Linked DNA regions of Stegostoma tigrinum. The protein of the gene in region 1 interacts with the protein of each later gene in a pairwise test. Links are inferred from orthologs where the notes say so. Each region holds a gene or a part of one and is shown on either strand. Other genes may lie near its edges. The genes, in order: tfip11, lmo4 and phostensin-like.

Region 1 (5,755 bases):
AAAGCCAGCAAAGTGCAAACAAAAAAGCAATAAGGGGGAGAAGATGAAATATGAGAGTAAGCTAGCTGGTAATATGAAAAAAAATTGAACAAGTTTTCTTTTAGATAAATAAGAAGTAAGTGAGGCAAGGGTGGACATTGGAATGCTGAAAAATGAGGCTGAGAAGGACTAATGAGAAACAAAGAAATCATGAACTTAATTGATGCTTTGCATCATTCTTCATGGATCATAACAAAACTTCAGAGTGTCAAGGGGCATGGTTGAGTGTAGTGGACATCAGTAAGGTGATGATGTTGGGGAAGCTGAACGGTCTGAAGGTGGATGAATCACCCAGAGTGGGTGGACCATATCCCAGAGTTCTGAAAGAGAGAGCTGAGAAGATTATGGAGACATTGGTGGTGATGATCTTTCAGGCATCACCTGTGTGACAGGTGGGCCCCAGAGGACTGGAAAATGGCTAATGTAACAAGTTGTTTAAGAAAAGACGGAGCCTGAAGATGGAGAATTATATGTCAGTTAGCCTGAGCTTGGTTGCTGGTAAGATTTTAGAGTCAATTACAAAGGAAAAGTTTGCAGAGAACTTGGAAGTGCATGATAAAGAAGAACTGAGTCAGCACTGCTTCAAGGGGAGGTCGTGCCTTACAATCTATTGCAATCCTTTGAGGAGGTAATAAACAAGTTTGATGAAGAAAAGCCGATGGATGTGGCCCATTTGGATATCCAGGAAACCTCTGACAAGCCGCTGCACAGGAGGCTGCTTTAAAAAAAAAGCCCATGGTGTTGGGGACAAGGTGTTGGCGTTGATAGAGGATTGGCTGATGGGCAGAAGGCACAGATCGGAATAAACGGATCTTTTTCTGGATGGTAGCCTGTAACTAGTGAAGTTCTACGGGGGGTCAATGTTACAACCACAACCATTCATTTTATAGATCAACAAACTGCATGTTTGAAAAAAAGCACAAGAATGGGTGGAGGGACGGGTAATGTTGATGAAGCAGGATTTCAACAAGCTAGGAGAGTGGCTGGAGAAGTGGCAAATGGAATACAATGTGGTAAAGAGTGAGGTTATCCACTTGAGTAGGAGCAATAGAAGCACGTACTATTTTCTAAATTGGGAAAGACTTCAGAAATCAAATGCACAAAGGCATTTGGGACTACTTGTCCGGGATTCTCTTAAGGTTAACATGCAGATTCATCTGGCAATTAGGAAGGCAAATGAAATGTTAGCATTCATGTCAAGCGGACTAGAATAAAAGAGCAGAGACGTACTGCAGATGCAGTGTAAGGCTCTAGTCAGGCACATTTGCAATATTGTGAGCAGTTTTGTGCCCTGTATTTAAGAAAGGATTCACTGCCATTGGAGGGCATTCAGAGGAGGTTTCCAAGCATGATCCTGGAGATGAAGAACTTGTCATAGAAGAAGTCGTTAAGGATTCTGGACCTGTACTCAACGCGTGAGAGGAGATCTCATTGAAACTTACAGAATACCGAGAGGCTTGGGCAAAGAGGTTGTGGAGATGATATTTCCTCTACTAGGAGAGACTAGGACCTGAGGGCACAGCTTCTAAGCAAAGGAACAACCCTGTAAAACTGAAACGAGGAGGAATTTCTTCAGCCAGGTGGTGAAACTGTGTTGGCTGAGTCATTGAGCGTATTAAGTCAGAGATAGTTAGGTTGTTGATTAGTAACGGGATCAGGGGTTGGGGGAGAAGGTGAGAGAACGGGGTTGAGACATATCGACCATGATCGGATGGTGGTGCAGACACGAATGGGCTGAACATCCGAATTAGATCTTATGGTCTAATGGAATTGGGGGGGGGGGGGGGCGGCGCGGAACAGGGGTTGTGTGCATATTACGGGGAACGGACTGTCAGGATTAGAGTACAGTGTCTCTCTCTCCCTCTCTCTCTCTCACACACACACACAGGCCGCTCTCCGGTTCTCTCAGTCGGCCTGGGTGCAGTTTAGGAATCGTCCAACAAAACGAACAGGAACAAAGTCCACAACCCAAACTCACCGCTTTCGGTTAATTCCAGCCACAAAGCCGCCGCCGCGCGCCCTCCGCCTCTCGGAGATAACTTTAAACCGATGTCTCACCAACGAACCACATCCGCCATCCTATGGTCCGTGCCCGGAACTCCGCTGTCGGGAAACACCGAGAGCGTACAATGGTTCCGGCCCGCGGTCAGGAAACAGAACCTGCAAAGGTGATGGTGTCAGTGGGAACAGTGAACCGAGAGGCACCGTGGGTCGTGTAAAACAGTTAAACGCTCTGAGGAACTGGGAAATTAAATAACCAGGAACAGACAGAAAGGAGGAATAAACACTCCATGTAATTTAAAAATCTTGTTTCTCTTCTTCCCAGAGGGAGCAGTTCTCAGAGTTTCCAGTTTTTGTTTTACACATCGTCCCAGCTGAGGCCCATAATCTCGAAACCTGTTGCCCCTGCACCAGATCTCAGCTTCCTCAGCAACAACACGGGCACACTGAAAGGATGCAGTTTGGTACGGCCCTTCTTCAAACTTAATTACAGAGAGAGATGTCTGCCTTACCAGCAGAAGGAGAATGGAAAACAATCAGAAAGAAAAAAGGAGTAAAGAAACGGAGAGAAAATGCCAGAGAGGTTCCCCACGCGGTGGAATATCCGAGTGTGGCTGAAGGGGAGAGAATGCAACAGAAAATAAAGGAAGCAGTGTAAGTTCACTGAATTGTCAGAACCCACCTCCTGCTGCTGCTGCGGGGTTGATCTGATGGATTTTGGTCCCGACATTTGTAGGGAAACACCTTCAGCCTCTCGCTCGTGCCAGACCAGAGATAACGTATCCAGAAACATCTGAGACGTGTGAGACGTGGAGCACACACATACGTCCACAGATTGCTGTGTGTTGGCGTAATAAAAAGGGGGGGAAATGTACTAAAATCCAACTTCAGGAGTCACTGAAAACGGAAGCCAATCTGAGTTAGGCACACAGCCAACACTACTCGATAAGGCAATTGATATGGACCTGGAAAGGTCTTCCCATGGATGCTGTACGACCTCCTGTGATCTCCAGCATTGGTTGTTTTCAGTACAGATTCCAGCATCTGCAGTAATTTGCTCCTAAGGCCTTGACAATTCTATTCTAATGAAGAGTCACTGAACTCGAGATGTTCATTCAGCCATCTCCGAACAGTTGCTTCCAGACCTGTTGAATTTTGCCAGCACTTTCAGTTTTTATTTCAAATCTCCAACATCTCCAGTTCTTTTATTCATTATTTTGACATTTACAACTGCCATGGTTGGCCAATACAATCTATGTGTTCAATCAAACCATTTCTCCTAGTCTATCATGATAGCATTTTCTATCACAATTACATTTATAGTGGTGAAATATTTCACTTTATGTTGAGATCTCAAGGTACATATTCAAGTAGATTTTTCAGATGTGACTCATCTGGCTTTTCAAGTTCACTTAAATGGTATGATTGGCCAGTATGCTCCCTCCTGTCCAGCTGAAATTCTGTCATTCCATTTTGAATACTTCAGTTAAGTCACAGCGTCATAATTAGGCATCCAAGTTAATAAATTGTGGAAGCGATTAAATGTACCTTAAGTGTTGGCTCATTCCTAACAGTTTCCTTTCTTTTTCATTCTCTACAAGATAAGTTTAAAATAATTTATTCACCTATTATTACAAGAAACAAGACATATGGTCAGACCTACTCTTTACTTGCTTTGTCCCTGTAAATTTGACACCTACAAAATAATCATAGCTTTCTGTGATGGAAAAACTAACCATTGAACTTTATTACAGAAAGGAACTGCAAAGTTCAGAATTCTGGATTGATTGCCTCGGTGAGTTGGTAGACTTAAGTTCTAACATGGGAATGTTTCTAGAATCAATTGTTCAGGATAGTATTCATCGTCACATGTGAAAATATTGATTAATTCAGAAAGGCCAGCGCGGATTTGTCAAAGGAAAATCATGTCTAGCTAGCTGAAGTGTTTGAAGAGGTGATAAAGAGAATTGATGAGGGCAATGTGGTCAATATTGTGTACATGGACTTGCAAAAAGAGTTCAATATAGTGCCACACAATAGACTTGTAAAACAAAAGTTGTAGTTTATGGAATAAAGAGAACTATAGCAATGTGGATATAAAATTGGCTAAGTGATAGGAAACAGAGTAATTGTTAGTGGATGTTTTTTGGGCTTGAGTAAGATGTATTGTGGAGTTCCCCAGGAGTCAGTGTTGGAATTCTTGCTTTTCCTGATATATGTAAGGGGTCTGAATCTTGAAGTGCAGGAGATAACTTCAAAGTTGGGAGCATTATAAACTGAGAGGAGGATAGCGTAGAATTTCAGGAGGAAAATTACAAGTTGGTGGAGTAGGCAGAGAGGTGAGAGACCTGCTGTATATGTACATAAGTCAATAAAGGTGACAGGTGGATGTTCAGAAAGCTAGTTCAGACATGCTGGACTGAATGACATGCACCTGAAACAATTCTGTAATTATCTATTTGCAATTTTTACGACATTCAGTTTGCTTCCTGAGATGGTAATTGTCACAATCTGTTTCAGAAACCTTTCAAAGAGTTGTGAATATGCATCATACAGATCAACTTGTATCTCCATCAAGTCCCTTCCCTACTGGGGAACCTCCAGATTACCTTGGACACAAAAAGAAAAATACAGATCATTATCGATATATGCTTAACTCGGTATGTTATGGAATCGGAAATTTTTCTACTTCCATGTCATCTCGTTATCAGCTGGCCCTGCTGTTCCTACTGCTAGAGACACTACAGGTAAGTGTAGTCAGGTGCTAATGTGTGAAGTGAATGGGGAGCTAAAGAGTCCATTGAGTAATGTTAGTTTGCATCATTCCTGAATGCTTAGAAACCATAGTTGTATTAACAAGTTGCTTTTCCATCTTTGATTCTGCTTGTCCCATTCTTCTTGCACGGTGTATCTTTCATTCAGCAAAAGTCTAGTGTTTTTGTACTTTTTTGTGGAAATAAATCAGTGACTCATAACTATGTTTAAAATGATAATTCTCTAAATCTATAAATCTGCAGATTTAGGAATGGACAGTGAAAAACATTCAAAACAAACATCTTCGAACAGGTAATACCACATAGCGAAATGTGAAAAGTTTTGCAACTGTGCTTCCTCGTATGATAAACTCAGTCTGAAATCATATTTTCAAAGCAAGCTGAAGGAGACATAAGAATCATTCACACACCTTGTTTTAACAGCGTGAAGTGGATGGAGGGCTTTACTTTTGATTCAGCTCATGCCTCATCCAGAAATAAATCATTTCTTTAATGCACAGTTTTTTTTGCTGTATGCAATTGCAGTGAACAGCAGGTATGCGAATGCAGCTCGGAGATCTTCATTGACCCTTTGATCTTCACTTCCACTTCATAGAATGCAGCTGATATCCGAACGTCTCTGTGATTGAAATCATTAATTCAGCCCATTTGAAGGGAGGGGCAAAGGGATAGAAAAAGGCAGCTATCTCACCTTATGCAATCCGTTGCAACCGTGCAAAATTAGAAGTGAACAGATGAGAAAGAAATCAGTTTTAATTTATCAAATAATCATTGTCCAGCACCGTTTCCCATTTTTGTAGTTGTGATTTTGCTCCATGTAAAATTTTAAATTTTGTTGTTGTATTTAACAGATCCCTCGAGATGGCTGCCTTTTCTTTGATCCACTATTTACAGAATGGGAGAAGAAATTCTTGAAGGACAGTGGGATGGTGGTGCTTGAG
Region 2 (5,755 bases), on another chromosome or scaffold:
TGCTTAACAAGTACTAATGCTCGATTAGCAAGAAGCCTGATTAGTAGTAACCACTGAGTACTATCTATTCAACATGAACAAATTCCTGTTAAAGCAACGCCAATTATGTGGTTTAAATTACATAACTTTAGGTATAATATTATTGTAAGTATGTACAACTGTAGCATATGATATTACTTATGGCATTTAAAGCAGCAAGCATTTTATTTATTATCTCTCTGTAGCTGGATTATTGAGTACATGATCAGTATTCTAGAAGGAATGTTTGTGTCCTGTCAGAATTAAGACCACCTGTACCTCTCCATATTCAACATTTCAAATATCAGCGGCTCATTAACAAGTTACTCTGCATCTTCGCCCTGCTGCTTTCTTTCAAACCCACACAGGTTCCAATCACAGAGCTCACAAAGGACCTTCAAAACAGAGGGGAAGAAAAACACCGCGGATGCTGGAAATCTGAAATAAAAACAAAAAGGACTGGATAAACTCACTAGGTCTGACAGCAACTGTATGGCGAGAGAAAGGAGTTAAATGTTGAGTCCGACAAGACACTCATAATTTGTCTATAATAATATTTTATATAATCAAATACGTGAAATATTTTATTATAACCATGCGTGTGATAATTTGTATAATCAAATCATATTTTCTGTAAAACTAAAATTACAAATACTTTGAAATAAATTTTACAAATTTTATAAATTTTACAAACACATTTTACTGTAATTATAGCAAGTTTTCGGAAATTTTATTTCATTAGAATCATATTTTAATTTATATAATTTTGTATCATATTTGTCAGCATATTTATTATGGAATAATATTTGCTTTACATAATCTATTTATGATGTATTTTGTATAATCTTACATATGAAATATTTTATGTAATCATAGATACTACTTATTTTAATAGAGTCAGAAGTCATACGACACCAGATTATTGTCCAGAGATAGTAGGAACTGCAGATGCTGGAGAATGGCCCAACAGGTTTATTTGAAATCGCAAGCTTTCGGAGCAGCGCTGGTGGATTATAATCTGATGTCGTGTGACTCCACACCGTTATTTTATAGAATCCTGTATGATATATTTTATAAGTCTATATATGCATGGAAGAGACATACTAGACTCGAAACGTTGACTATTTTTCGCTCTCTGCCTGATCTGCTGAGTATCTCCAGCACTTTCTGTTTTTATTACAGTTTCAAGGTTTGAGAATACTTGCTCCTCTCACACTTGAAGATGGAGGTTGAACAAGACTTTTCGTTTCACAGCTATGAGAATCACAGTGAGCTATAAGCTTTCTTTGTTACTTCGCGGGAACCGTTTGCTTGCGGAAGCGTTGTGAGTAAAGTGAAAACATCGTCGAGGCGAGGCATAGTCAATAGACTGTTCCCAATCACCACAGGCACCAACCTAACAGCAGCCCTTCCTTTTCGAAACAGAGATCTGGTTTAAATACAACTGATCCGCGGTTAATTACAAGAAGGTTGCAAGTTATAAATAATCTGGTTATTGCTGGTAAGATCCGGGCAGATAGTCTTTCAGTCAAAGGCAGAAGTCACATGGAGGGAGGTTACTGTAAATCACAACGTAGCTCTGCGATGTTATCACCGGCTGCACCGAGTGAATTATTGGCCTGTCATTCACCACCAAGAGCTGAAGCTAACCCCTCCAGGCCCTGGGAAAAAAATCCACGTGGAGAACCCGGGGATTTATGAGGGGAGTCACGGCCATCACTCACAGCCTAGCTACTAACCCATCAGCTAGCTCCGTCCATGGGTCACTGAGGCCGTTTGAGAACTCAGAAATGCCTGCAAGTGTCCGAAAGTCAGGGGGCGGAGGGTTCGAGGCTCCAGGCAGAGACGCTGACCAAAAGAGAGGTTTACTTCATTATAAAGTGGGTGGGTGTGTGTGCGCGCGTTTTGTTCACAGGTATTTGCAGTTTAGAAATTGACAGGGTTAACGAGGGTGCTAATGAGTGACAGTGATGCTTTATTGACCCAATTCCGTGGGATCTTTCTTTCCCCTCCCTCTGTGTCTCCGCTTTCTGCTCCTGTGATGAAACTGAGCCCGAATCAAAACCCACACACACAAAAACTCAAGTTACACTTTTGTCAATTATTGCACACTCTAAGGCCCGAAAGTAAAAACGCGATTATTTTCTGTTTGAGTTTCAGCGTCATTTAAGTTTGAGTTCGTCAAGTTTGACGAGAGTGTGGGCTCAAACTGAGGAAAATCTCAGGTATTCGTGGATTTTAATGTGAAACTCCAAACGCTACCCCCACCCTAACAATTAATGAACTATTGTCTCTCTCTCTCTGTCTCTCTCTCTCTCTCTACTGACTAGCAGATTTGTTCCAGTTTTCTAATTTCTCCTTAAATTCCACCCAGACCCGAGTTGCCAACCTATTCAGTGAAATGAATGATGTGAATAATACGGTTTTCACAATGGAATAATTAATTTGCTGAGACTATTAAAACAAGGGAGAATGATGAAGTGACTTGAATGCGAGCCTCGGAAGGGACTCATTGTTTGTCCTTTAATGAGCTTTTTGGTAAATGGCGGGGAAATATTGCCCTGCTCTCTGTAATATGATCGAGGTAAAAGTGTATTAAGAGTCGAAATCCCCCAGTGCAATGCGTTCGGAAAAGGCTCCCGCCCAGTATTGGCGAGGGTTTGAGTGTTTGCTTCAGTTCATAGATGATTAGAGTCCACACCACACACACACACACACACACACACACAAAATACCATGATATGGGCAGGTAGATTCTAATGAGCTGCCGAGTGATAAATTTCATAATTATTCTACCCACTGCTAACAGAAAATTCATCAGTCAAGGCAAATTAGTTCAGATTCATTAGAATAAGAAATCTAACGGGCACATATACTTTATTAGTTTACACCAATAGGTTTAATTAGCTACATATTTCACAGCTACAGTGCTGTTTCAGCCTGCTCTTAAGGAAGGGACTGCTTTATGTCTTTTATTTACAGTAACAAGCTATCAGGGCCCACGTTAACCCCGTCATTAATTCTGGAAACACGAGATAGGCTTGCTTTATCAACCAGAGACCCGTCAGGTCTTCGCTCAGTCTCTGAACTGGGCAAGTGTTATTTTCTCCTTCTCACACACCTTCGACCCTTCTATCCCTCCCAAATTAATTCTGCTGGCTAAACAAACACAGAGCGAAACAAGACAAACTCCAAAAACAGACACAAAGGACAACAAAACGCGCCAATTTTGTCAATAGTTTTTACAACAACATTAGCCCTTAAGGATTCGCCGCGCAGCTGTTCTGCGCTCTCAGTATGATCTGGATTCTGACGAGTTCATATATTTAATACTCTTACTAGTTGCAACTATGTCGTTTTAAGCCAATCAAATAGTAATTTAATGCAGGCTTTCATTTTCAAAGAATCTACTTACTTGTGTTTGCGAGTAATCTTCCTCAAAGTACCTCAGAGTCCGTCACACATCTTCAGCAGCAAATGACTAGCCTCACAATTTTCGCACTTGCTGGAGGGAGTGGCTGAAGAGTTGGCCCCTCCTGCTGGGAAGAGCTGGAACTTCACTGCTGATCATCAACTGGCTTCATAAGTTGCCAGAACTGACAATAGGCTACACTTGAACTGAACCAAAACACCGAGAAGGCTTAAGATATCAAGTTATGTTAAAAAAAGTATTCATTGAATGGCCTTATAATGTACAGATTCCAACTAGAATAGTGCCTTTTTAAAAAGCCTGCTTTCCATAAAAGTTTTTTGCAACTAGAGTGGGCTGTGAACATGTTTTTTGCACATTCATATCCAATGCCAGTAAAAAGATGCCTACCTTGTCATTTTAATGTCAGCCCTTGTTCAGGCGTAGTACTCCAAGATTTGGTGCTAAAGAAAGATGACTGTCCAGAGCCCGACTGAAAGTGTGTTTCACTCGGATTAGATGTCAAACCAAGCAGTTGGCTGTTCTTTCAGGTGGCAATTTAACACAATCTAATTTCCAAGAAGGGCTGGAGAATTTTCTGCTTTGTCATGGTATTATTTATTCCTCAGCTAATATTACACAAGGAAATGAATTATCCGAACATTACAAAGTCATGTGGATAGGTACATGAATGAGGAGGATTTAGAGGGATGTGGGCCAAATGCTGGCAAATGGGGCTAGATTAATTTAGGATGTCTGGCTGGCATGGATGAGTTGGACTGAAGGATCTGTTTCCATACTGTACATCTCTGTGGCTCTGTGGTCGTGATCAGTGAGCTGGTTGTGAGTGCTTGCTCTGCCAAATTTGGCAGCTTCAAGTTCTAAAGTACAATGATGTCTTCATTTGAAAAGTAGCTAATTGCTTATAATGTGGCATTTCAAGATCATAAAAACTGATACGTAAGTTCAAAGTTGGTGTTTTTTAACTAAATAGAAGGAGTTAGTCATAGGACTCGCAAACACCTTTAAACTGGATTTACATAGTGTTGGAATTGCACTCCAGTACATACCCTGATGTGAGGTTAGATCCATGACGTGTCTCGCAGCACACCCTTCTTGCTGCAAATTCTCAGTCATTGATCTCTGACATTGATGGTCAAACTAAAATTTACTGATGGTCTCGCTAAAGCTTTAACATTTAAAAATGCTTTGATAATATAAATGGTCAAAGGAGGAAAGATAACTCTGCCTTTATAATGTTCACAACAATTGCAAAACATTGTAGGTTAGGAGATATATAAATTGTATAATGTCTGCAGTTAAATTTTACTTTGAATAAGTTGCACAATTTCTATGAAATTGAATGATACCTTTTTTTAATATGGGTGTACCATGCTACATTATATACTCAATAGAAAACTATGAAGAAAGGTTCAAATATATTCAGTAAGATAAAAGTCAAAGCACAAAGCTTGCCAAACTTGGCAAGATATGGCAATTATGTTACGGTACAGGGTATATTTTACCTAGTGAAATCCTGACTTAAATCATAAACTGTTAAATCATATTGCTTTGAAGATGTAAGACCTTAATTCAATAACATAGTTTCATTTTATTTGTGAATTCATTGTGCCTATAGCAGCTAGATGTAAGAAAGTCTGACATGCTCAAAGATAAGAGAGTTGATCAAGGGACGGCAATATTCATGTAAAGGCTTGTGTTTCACCTGGTTAAGAAGCACTCATCTCATTTTTTACAATTGTCTGCTGGGGATAAATGGCATTAGAATGTATATTGCTACTTCGTTCTATCATTAATCAGGTAAATTTATTGATCAAAAACCTGCAGTTAGTTTGGTTGGATTCCAATCAGTATCATGTTTAAAATTTTTGTTTCTAAATTATATTTTGATTTGAATTTGGGAAAGACTCTTAATTTATTTGGTACTGATTCATTAGCGTACACATTCAGCTCCAGCGTTGTTTTTTTTTGTTGCCTGCCTAGCTGTCTAGTTGATTATTAATATGGCTTACAGGCATAATTAAAATCTATTTTCCTCCAGCCCCCACCCCAGCTCCCATCACAAACAATTAACAGACATATAGAGGGATGGCTGTGAGCTTGTGCTCAAAGTGACTTGTATCAAGTAGCTGTTGTGTATGCTGTATGTCTGGCTGCAGTATAAAGTCAGTATTCCATTTCATCAGTTGGGGCAATAATACATACATGTAGTGGTAACAGACAGAACAACGTTTTTTTTTCTCATGTATCCTGCTCAAAACAAAAGTTTTGTTTGCTCTTTGAACTTGCTCACCTGTCTATCAATGC
Region 3 (5,755 bases), on another chromosome or scaffold:
CTCCAACACCGCCTCGGGGCCTGGCCTTGAGGGCGTGGACGACAGGGTACCCTGCCGCCCCCGCCCTCCGTCACTTGCGCCCTCTGTCTCCCGGGCGACCACTCCCCCACCCCCTCCTCCATAGCTGGCTCGGACAGGGAAGGCCGGAAGCCTGGTTTCCCGGGGGCCCACAGTGGGAGGCTGCGGCCCGCTCATGTTGCTGCTGGGCCCCCCCTGACTGGTGTCTGGATCTGGCCCGGGCTCGGTGAAGGGGGCCCTGTCCAGGCCTAGCTCAGGCGTCCCACCCTGTGGTCCAGGATCCCCAGTGCGTCTCTGGTCTGTTGCCGCACCAGCAGTAGCAACAGCAGGAAGGCAGGAAGCTGTAGGGGCCTGCTCTGCACAGGAAGAGGAAGCCACATTGACAGGCTGCTGTGGCCTGGAGGAGCCGAGAGTGTTTACATCGTTGGGGGAGGGTGGGTCGGGGAGGAGGACGGAGGCTTTGGCCTCCTCCTCCTCCTCCTCCCCCTGCTGCTGCTTGGAGGGTGCAGCCTGGCCATCAACCAGAGCCTGGGCCTCCCTGGGTTCAGCCTTGCCGTCCCTCACTATGCCGGGGCCTGGATCTGGATCCCACCTCCCGCTGCCCAAACAACCAGGCCTGAGGCGTCCTCCTCCCCCTCTTCCTCCTCCCCCTCCTCGTCCTCCCTCCCCAACCATCCCCTGGGACCCTGGCCTAGCGGGCTGGGCCTCCTCCTCATTGGCGGCTCGGCTGGGTGTCTCTGTCGCCAACCAGGCCTCGAAGCGGCTGCGGGAGGTGGAGACCGTGCGCGGAGGGGAGGTGGTGGGGGGAGAGCGGGACTGGGGCCTGCGTCCTTGGCGCGGGGCGTGAGGGCTCCTCGGTGGGCCAGAGGATGCCCCTGAGCGTCCCGGGCGCTCCAGGATGTTCTCGGTGCTGCGGGAGCGAGAAGGCCGTGCCGCAAGAGCCTTTGTCTCCTCCCCCACCCCGCCATCTCTGGTCGCCCAGGTGCGCCCCTGCTGGCCGAACCTGCACAGTAGCCGGCTGACCCGCCCACGTTTGGGGCCCTCCTCTCCCAACTCCGCTCGGCACTTCCCAAAGGAGTTCAGATCCTCCACACTCCTGCTCAAGGGGGAACGGAGGTCAGGCCGACATGCCCCCTGCTGGCCGGCCAGGCCATTCACACTCGGCAGCTTCTCACTGGTGCCCGGGAGCCTGGGCCCGGATTCAATGATGGTGATGTCGTCTGCCTGTATGATGGTCACCCCTGGGGTGTGACAGATCATCTCGGTCCCTGGGACACCCAGAGGGGCCTGCTCCAGCTCCGAACCTCCCTTCCTCTGCTTCTCCCGCTGGATAAAGTGATTCTGGCGCAGGGGCCCAATGTTCTCCCGCAGCACCACGCTGTCTGTCGCCGTGGCAACGCAGGCCTCAGGCTCTGTCCCATCAGTCCCAGCCTTGGCTGCAGAGCCCATCGGGCTAGACCCAGCCTGACCCTCGGCCTGTATTTCCAAAGACGATGACCCAGGGCACAGCCTGGCCCGCCTCCTCTCGATGATCTCCCTCTTCCAGGCCGGAATTCTGGCCAGCCTCTCCTGTTCTTCCTTCTCCTTGCGCCTTTCCTCTTCCTCATCCCTTCTCTTCCTCTCCAGCAGCTGAACCTTCCACTGAGGAGGAGACGTCATTGTGGAGTTTCAGCCCAGTCACTGGTGGAAAGTGAAGGGGTCAAGCCTGCCCCAGTTCTGGTCACTAAAACCTGCTCCACCCACCCACGACTGACTTCACCCCTGGGTCACCCTGTCTCACTGGGAAATCGACGGGGTCTCAAAGATGGTGACCTTCAGACAATGCCATATGGGACAGAGCAAGATCCAGATCTATGGCCAAACACCAAATCTTTCACCCTGAGACATTACAGACACTCAAAACACACACTCAATACTCAACTCGCACACTCAATACCCAACACTCAGACCCTCACACTCAATACCCAACACTCAGACACTCACAATCAGACCCTCACTCAATACCCAACACTCAGACTCTCACTCAATACCCAACACTCAGACCCTCACAATACCTAACACTCAGACCCTCACACTCAATACCCAACACTCAGACCCTCACACTCAATGCCCAACACTCAGACACTCACAATCAGACCCTCATTCAATACCCAACACTCAGACCCTCACTCAATACCCAACACTCAGACCCTCACTCAATACCCAACACTCAGACACTCACAATCAGACCCTCACTCAATACCCAACACTCAGACCTCAATCAATACCCAACACTCAGACCCTCACAATCAAACCGTCACTCAATACCCAACACTCAGACCCTCACTCAATACCCAACAGTCAGATCCTCACTCAATACCCAGCACTCAGACACTCACAATCAGACCCTCACTCAATACCCAACACTGAGACCTCACTCAATACCCAACACTCAGACCCTCACAATCAGACCGTCACTCAATACCCAACACTCAGACCCTCACAATCAAACCGTCACTCAATACCCAACACTCAGACCTCACTCAATACCCAACACTCAGACCCTCACTCAATACCCAACGCTCGGACTCTCACTATCAGACCCTCACATTCCATACCCTCAGACCCTGACACTCCGACCCTTGGGAGCACACAGCCAGCAGTTCACCCACCGAAGCCATGGTCAGGTACCCCTGCGCACCTCATGGGAACGCTCAGGTCCCCATCTGCCCCAGGATAGATCCCTCCTTCTCTCTGGATCAGGGAACTCCTTCTGTCCGTACCGGGATAAATCCTTTGACAGGGAAACTCCACGGTCTGTCCCAAGATAAATCTCTCTGTCAGGGATAAGCCTTTCTCTCGATCCTGGGAATAAGTCGCGCTCTCTGTTCTCGGGATACGGCCTCCTGTCTATCCCTACCTCCGTCCCGGGGATGACAGTCTATCCTGGGATAAATCTCTGTCTCTGTGCTCCCATGGGGTCGATTCCAGGCGGGAGGGAAGGCGATGGTGATGTCTCCCGGGTCAGACACTCCGCTGTCCCGGGACAGTGCTGGGTCCTGGGTGCCGCCCCGGCTTCCCGAACAAAAGGAGCGGCTCGGGGTGGGTGTTCCTGACCGCCCGGAGGCTGCGGATCCCGGGGCGCGGGGGGGGGACTCTCCCCGCTGGCGAGCTCTCGCTCGGGATTTGAAGCTGCCTGCGGTGGTGGGGTCCGACGGGGGATCCCGTAATCTCCCCGGGACTGGGAACCCGCTGCTGCTCACGGTGACTGAGTGTGTGTGTGTTCGAGAGAGAGAGAGAGCATCCGGGAGAGGGCAGGAAACAGAGAGAGAGAGAGAGAGAGAGAGAGACGGGGGAGGGAGAGAGAGTGTGGGGCTGGGACTAGGGGTGAATGGACAGAGAGGTAGAGAGAGCGCGAAGGCAGAGAAAATAAAGTGAGACTGAATGGAGAGAGAATAAAATAAAACGAGGAATGGAGACAGAAAGTAAATGACTGCAGAGGGTGGGAACAGGGAGAGACTTGTAGATTAGAGAGAGGGTCGTGGGGGAGAGAGAGAGAAGGGGGGAGAGGAAGGGTGAAGGGAGACAGTGGGTGGAAGAGAGTGAGAACAAGGTGGGATGGGAGAGAGGGGTTGGGGAAGAGAGAAAGGGGGAAGGGGGGAAGAGAGAAAGGGGGAAGGGGGGAAGGGGAGGGTTGGAGAGAGAGAAGGGGGCTGGGTGGGAGAGAGAGGGGGGTTGGGGGAAGACAGGGTGAGGGAGTGGGAGACAGAGAAAGGGGGTGGGGTGATAGGGAGATAAAGGGGGGAAGGAGAGGGAGTGAGTGGGGTGAGGAGTGTGTGGGGGGAGAGAGTGAGTGGGGGGATAGAGGGTTGGGGGAGAGAGTGAGTGGGGAACAGAGGGTTGGAGGTGGAGAGAGAGAGAGAGAGAGAAAGGAGGTGGGGAGAGAGAGAGAGGGTTGAGGGAATGGGAGTGTAATAAAGAAAGGCCGAGAAGGAAGACAGAATAAAGTGAGACCTGACCGAGAGAAAAATGAGGTGTAGAGAGAGAGACAGCAAATGAAAATAGAGAGGGGGAGCATGTAGACTAGGAAGGGAGGGGAATAGAGAGAGGAGGAATAGAAAGATGGAGATAGAGAACAGGAGAGGAGGGATAGAGAGGCGGGAGTGACAGAGTGAATGGAGCAAGAGTAAATAGAAAGAGGAAATAATGAGAGACAGTGAACAGAGAGACAGGGAATTGAGAAAGGGAGTAGAGAGAGTTACAGACAGAGAGGAAAGAGAAAGTGGAATGGGAAGAAGGAGTTAGAGAAAGGGTCAAGGGAGCAGGCAAAGGGAGGTGGGGAAAAGAGACAGAGAGAGGCACAGAGAGAATTTAGAGAAAGGAATAGGAAGAGGGAGTTAGCGAGCAGGAGAGGAGAGAGAAGATACAGTGAGGGAGAATATAGAGGGAGAGATAGAATGGGGAGATCAGGACTGTCCTCCTGTAGAATGAGAAGGCTTAGAGGAGATCCGATAGAATTGTTCAAAATCATGCAGGGGCTGGACAGCGTTGACAGAGAGAAACTGTACGATTTGTAAAAAGAGATCAAGAAAGACAGGGCACAGATTTGAAGTGACTGGCAGAACAAGCATATGTAAGCATTTGTGGGACGGAAGCACATTTTGAGTTGCATCTGAACTGCAAGTAGCTGGGGGAAACTGGTATTTATGCTGGAACCAAAGTGTGGGGGAGAGCGGAGGTGAGTGTATAGGTATAGATGGAGGTCAGAGAGATGGAGAAAGATATGACAGAGAAATGTAAACAAGAAGATAACAGATAGCTGGCCAGGACAGAAAAAAAGCTGAATAAGAGATCATGCAATCAAAGAGTGAGAACACAGGAGAGCTCTATTGAGAAGTGTACCCGATTGCTGCTCACCTGCAGATGCTGCCTGGCCTGCTGTATTCTTCCAGCGTCCTGTTTGTCTACCTTGGATTCCAGCATCTGCAGTATTTTATGTCTCTAACCATGGGCCTAGGATTACGTGAGAATGGGTGACCGGGCTAAAAGAAACCCATGCTGTCACAGGACTGGGTCTGGCAGTGGGTTAAAAAATGGAAGGCTGGAATCAGGCTCTAAACTTATTTAATTTGACGTTGAGCCCTAGAGGCTGCCGGGTCCCCAAGCAGAAAGAGAGATTTTTTTTTGAGCTTGCGCTGAGCTTCGCTAGAGCACTGCAGCAGGCCTGAGACAGAGCAGGCTAGAGAACACAGCTTGGAGTGGCAGGAAACTGGAAGCTCTGGGTCGTTTTTGCAGTCACCCAGGTCTACATTTTGTCTCCCTAGTGTAGAGGAGATCACATTGTGTGCGGTGAATGTGGTAGACTAGACTGACTGAAGTGGCTGGTAAATCACTGCTTCACCTGGAAGGTATGTCTGTGGCTTTGGATGGTGAGGAGCGAAGGAGTAAACAGGCAGGTGTTGCACTTATGCGGTTGCAGGCCAAGGTGCCATGGGGCTGTGGGGTGGGTGCGGTATTGGGACCGGAGGAGGAATGGACCAGGGTGTCCTGGAGGGAACTGTCCCTGCAAAATGCTTGCAGAGGAGGGGAGGTGAATGTGTTTCCAGTCTTGGCATCCTGTAGGAGGTGATGGAAACGTCAGCGGATGACGGAAAGTGAGCAGTAGGAGTTGTCTGAGGGAAGGGAAGGGACGGGGTGAGGGCGGAAGTGAGGGAGATGCGTCGAATATAGCCAAGGGTCCTGGCAACCATTGTATGGG

What was found.
Region 2: the proteins of tfip11 (region 1) and lmo4 interact in binary tests that used the Homo sapiens proteins (3 or more experiments, as listed by UniProt). The two-hybrid records come from large-scale screens. The link is inferred for Stegostoma tigrinum from reciprocal best matches to the Homo sapiens genes TFIP11 and LMO4.
Region 3: the proteins of tfip11 (region 1) and phostensin-like interact in binary tests that used the Homo sapiens proteins (3 or more experiments, as listed by UniProt). The link is inferred for Stegostoma tigrinum from reciprocal best matches to the Homo sapiens genes TFIP11 and PPP1R18.

The regions. Positions count from the first base shown.
Region 1 is NC_081379.1:17,493,392-17,499,146, reverse strand, and holds the start of tfip11 (tuftelin-interacting protein 11), read right to left. Parts: upstream 2,845-5,755; 5' UTR 2,834-2,844; coding exon 2,723-2,833; intron 2,695-2,722; coding exon of another isoform or gene 2,540-2,694; exon of another isoform or gene 2,018-2,539; intron 1-2,017. Other genes in the region: srrd (SRR1-like protein), read left to right, coding at 2,540-2,694, 3,795-3,835, 4,561-4,787, 5,666-5,755. UniProt on the Homo sapiens protein: Involved in pre-mRNA splicing, specifically in spliceosome disassembly during late-stage splicing events. Intron turnover seems to proceed through reactions in two lariat-intron associated complexes termed Intron Large (IL) and Intron Small (IS).
Region 2 is NC_081361.1:90,464,518-90,470,272, forward strand, and holds the start of lmo4 (LIM domain transcription factor LMO4), read right to left. Parts: upstream 3,525-5,755; 5' UTR 3,434-3,524; intron 1-3,433. UniProt on the Homo sapiens protein: Transcription cofactor. Plays a role in establishing motor neuron identity, in concert with MNX1, acting, at least in part, to disrupt LDB1-LHX3 complexes thereby negatively modulating interneuron genes in motor neurons.
Region 3 is NC_081387.1:14,388,558-14,394,312, forward strand, and holds the start of phostensin-like, read right to left. Parts: upstream 3,570-5,755; 5' UTR 1,678-3,569; coding exon 1-1,677.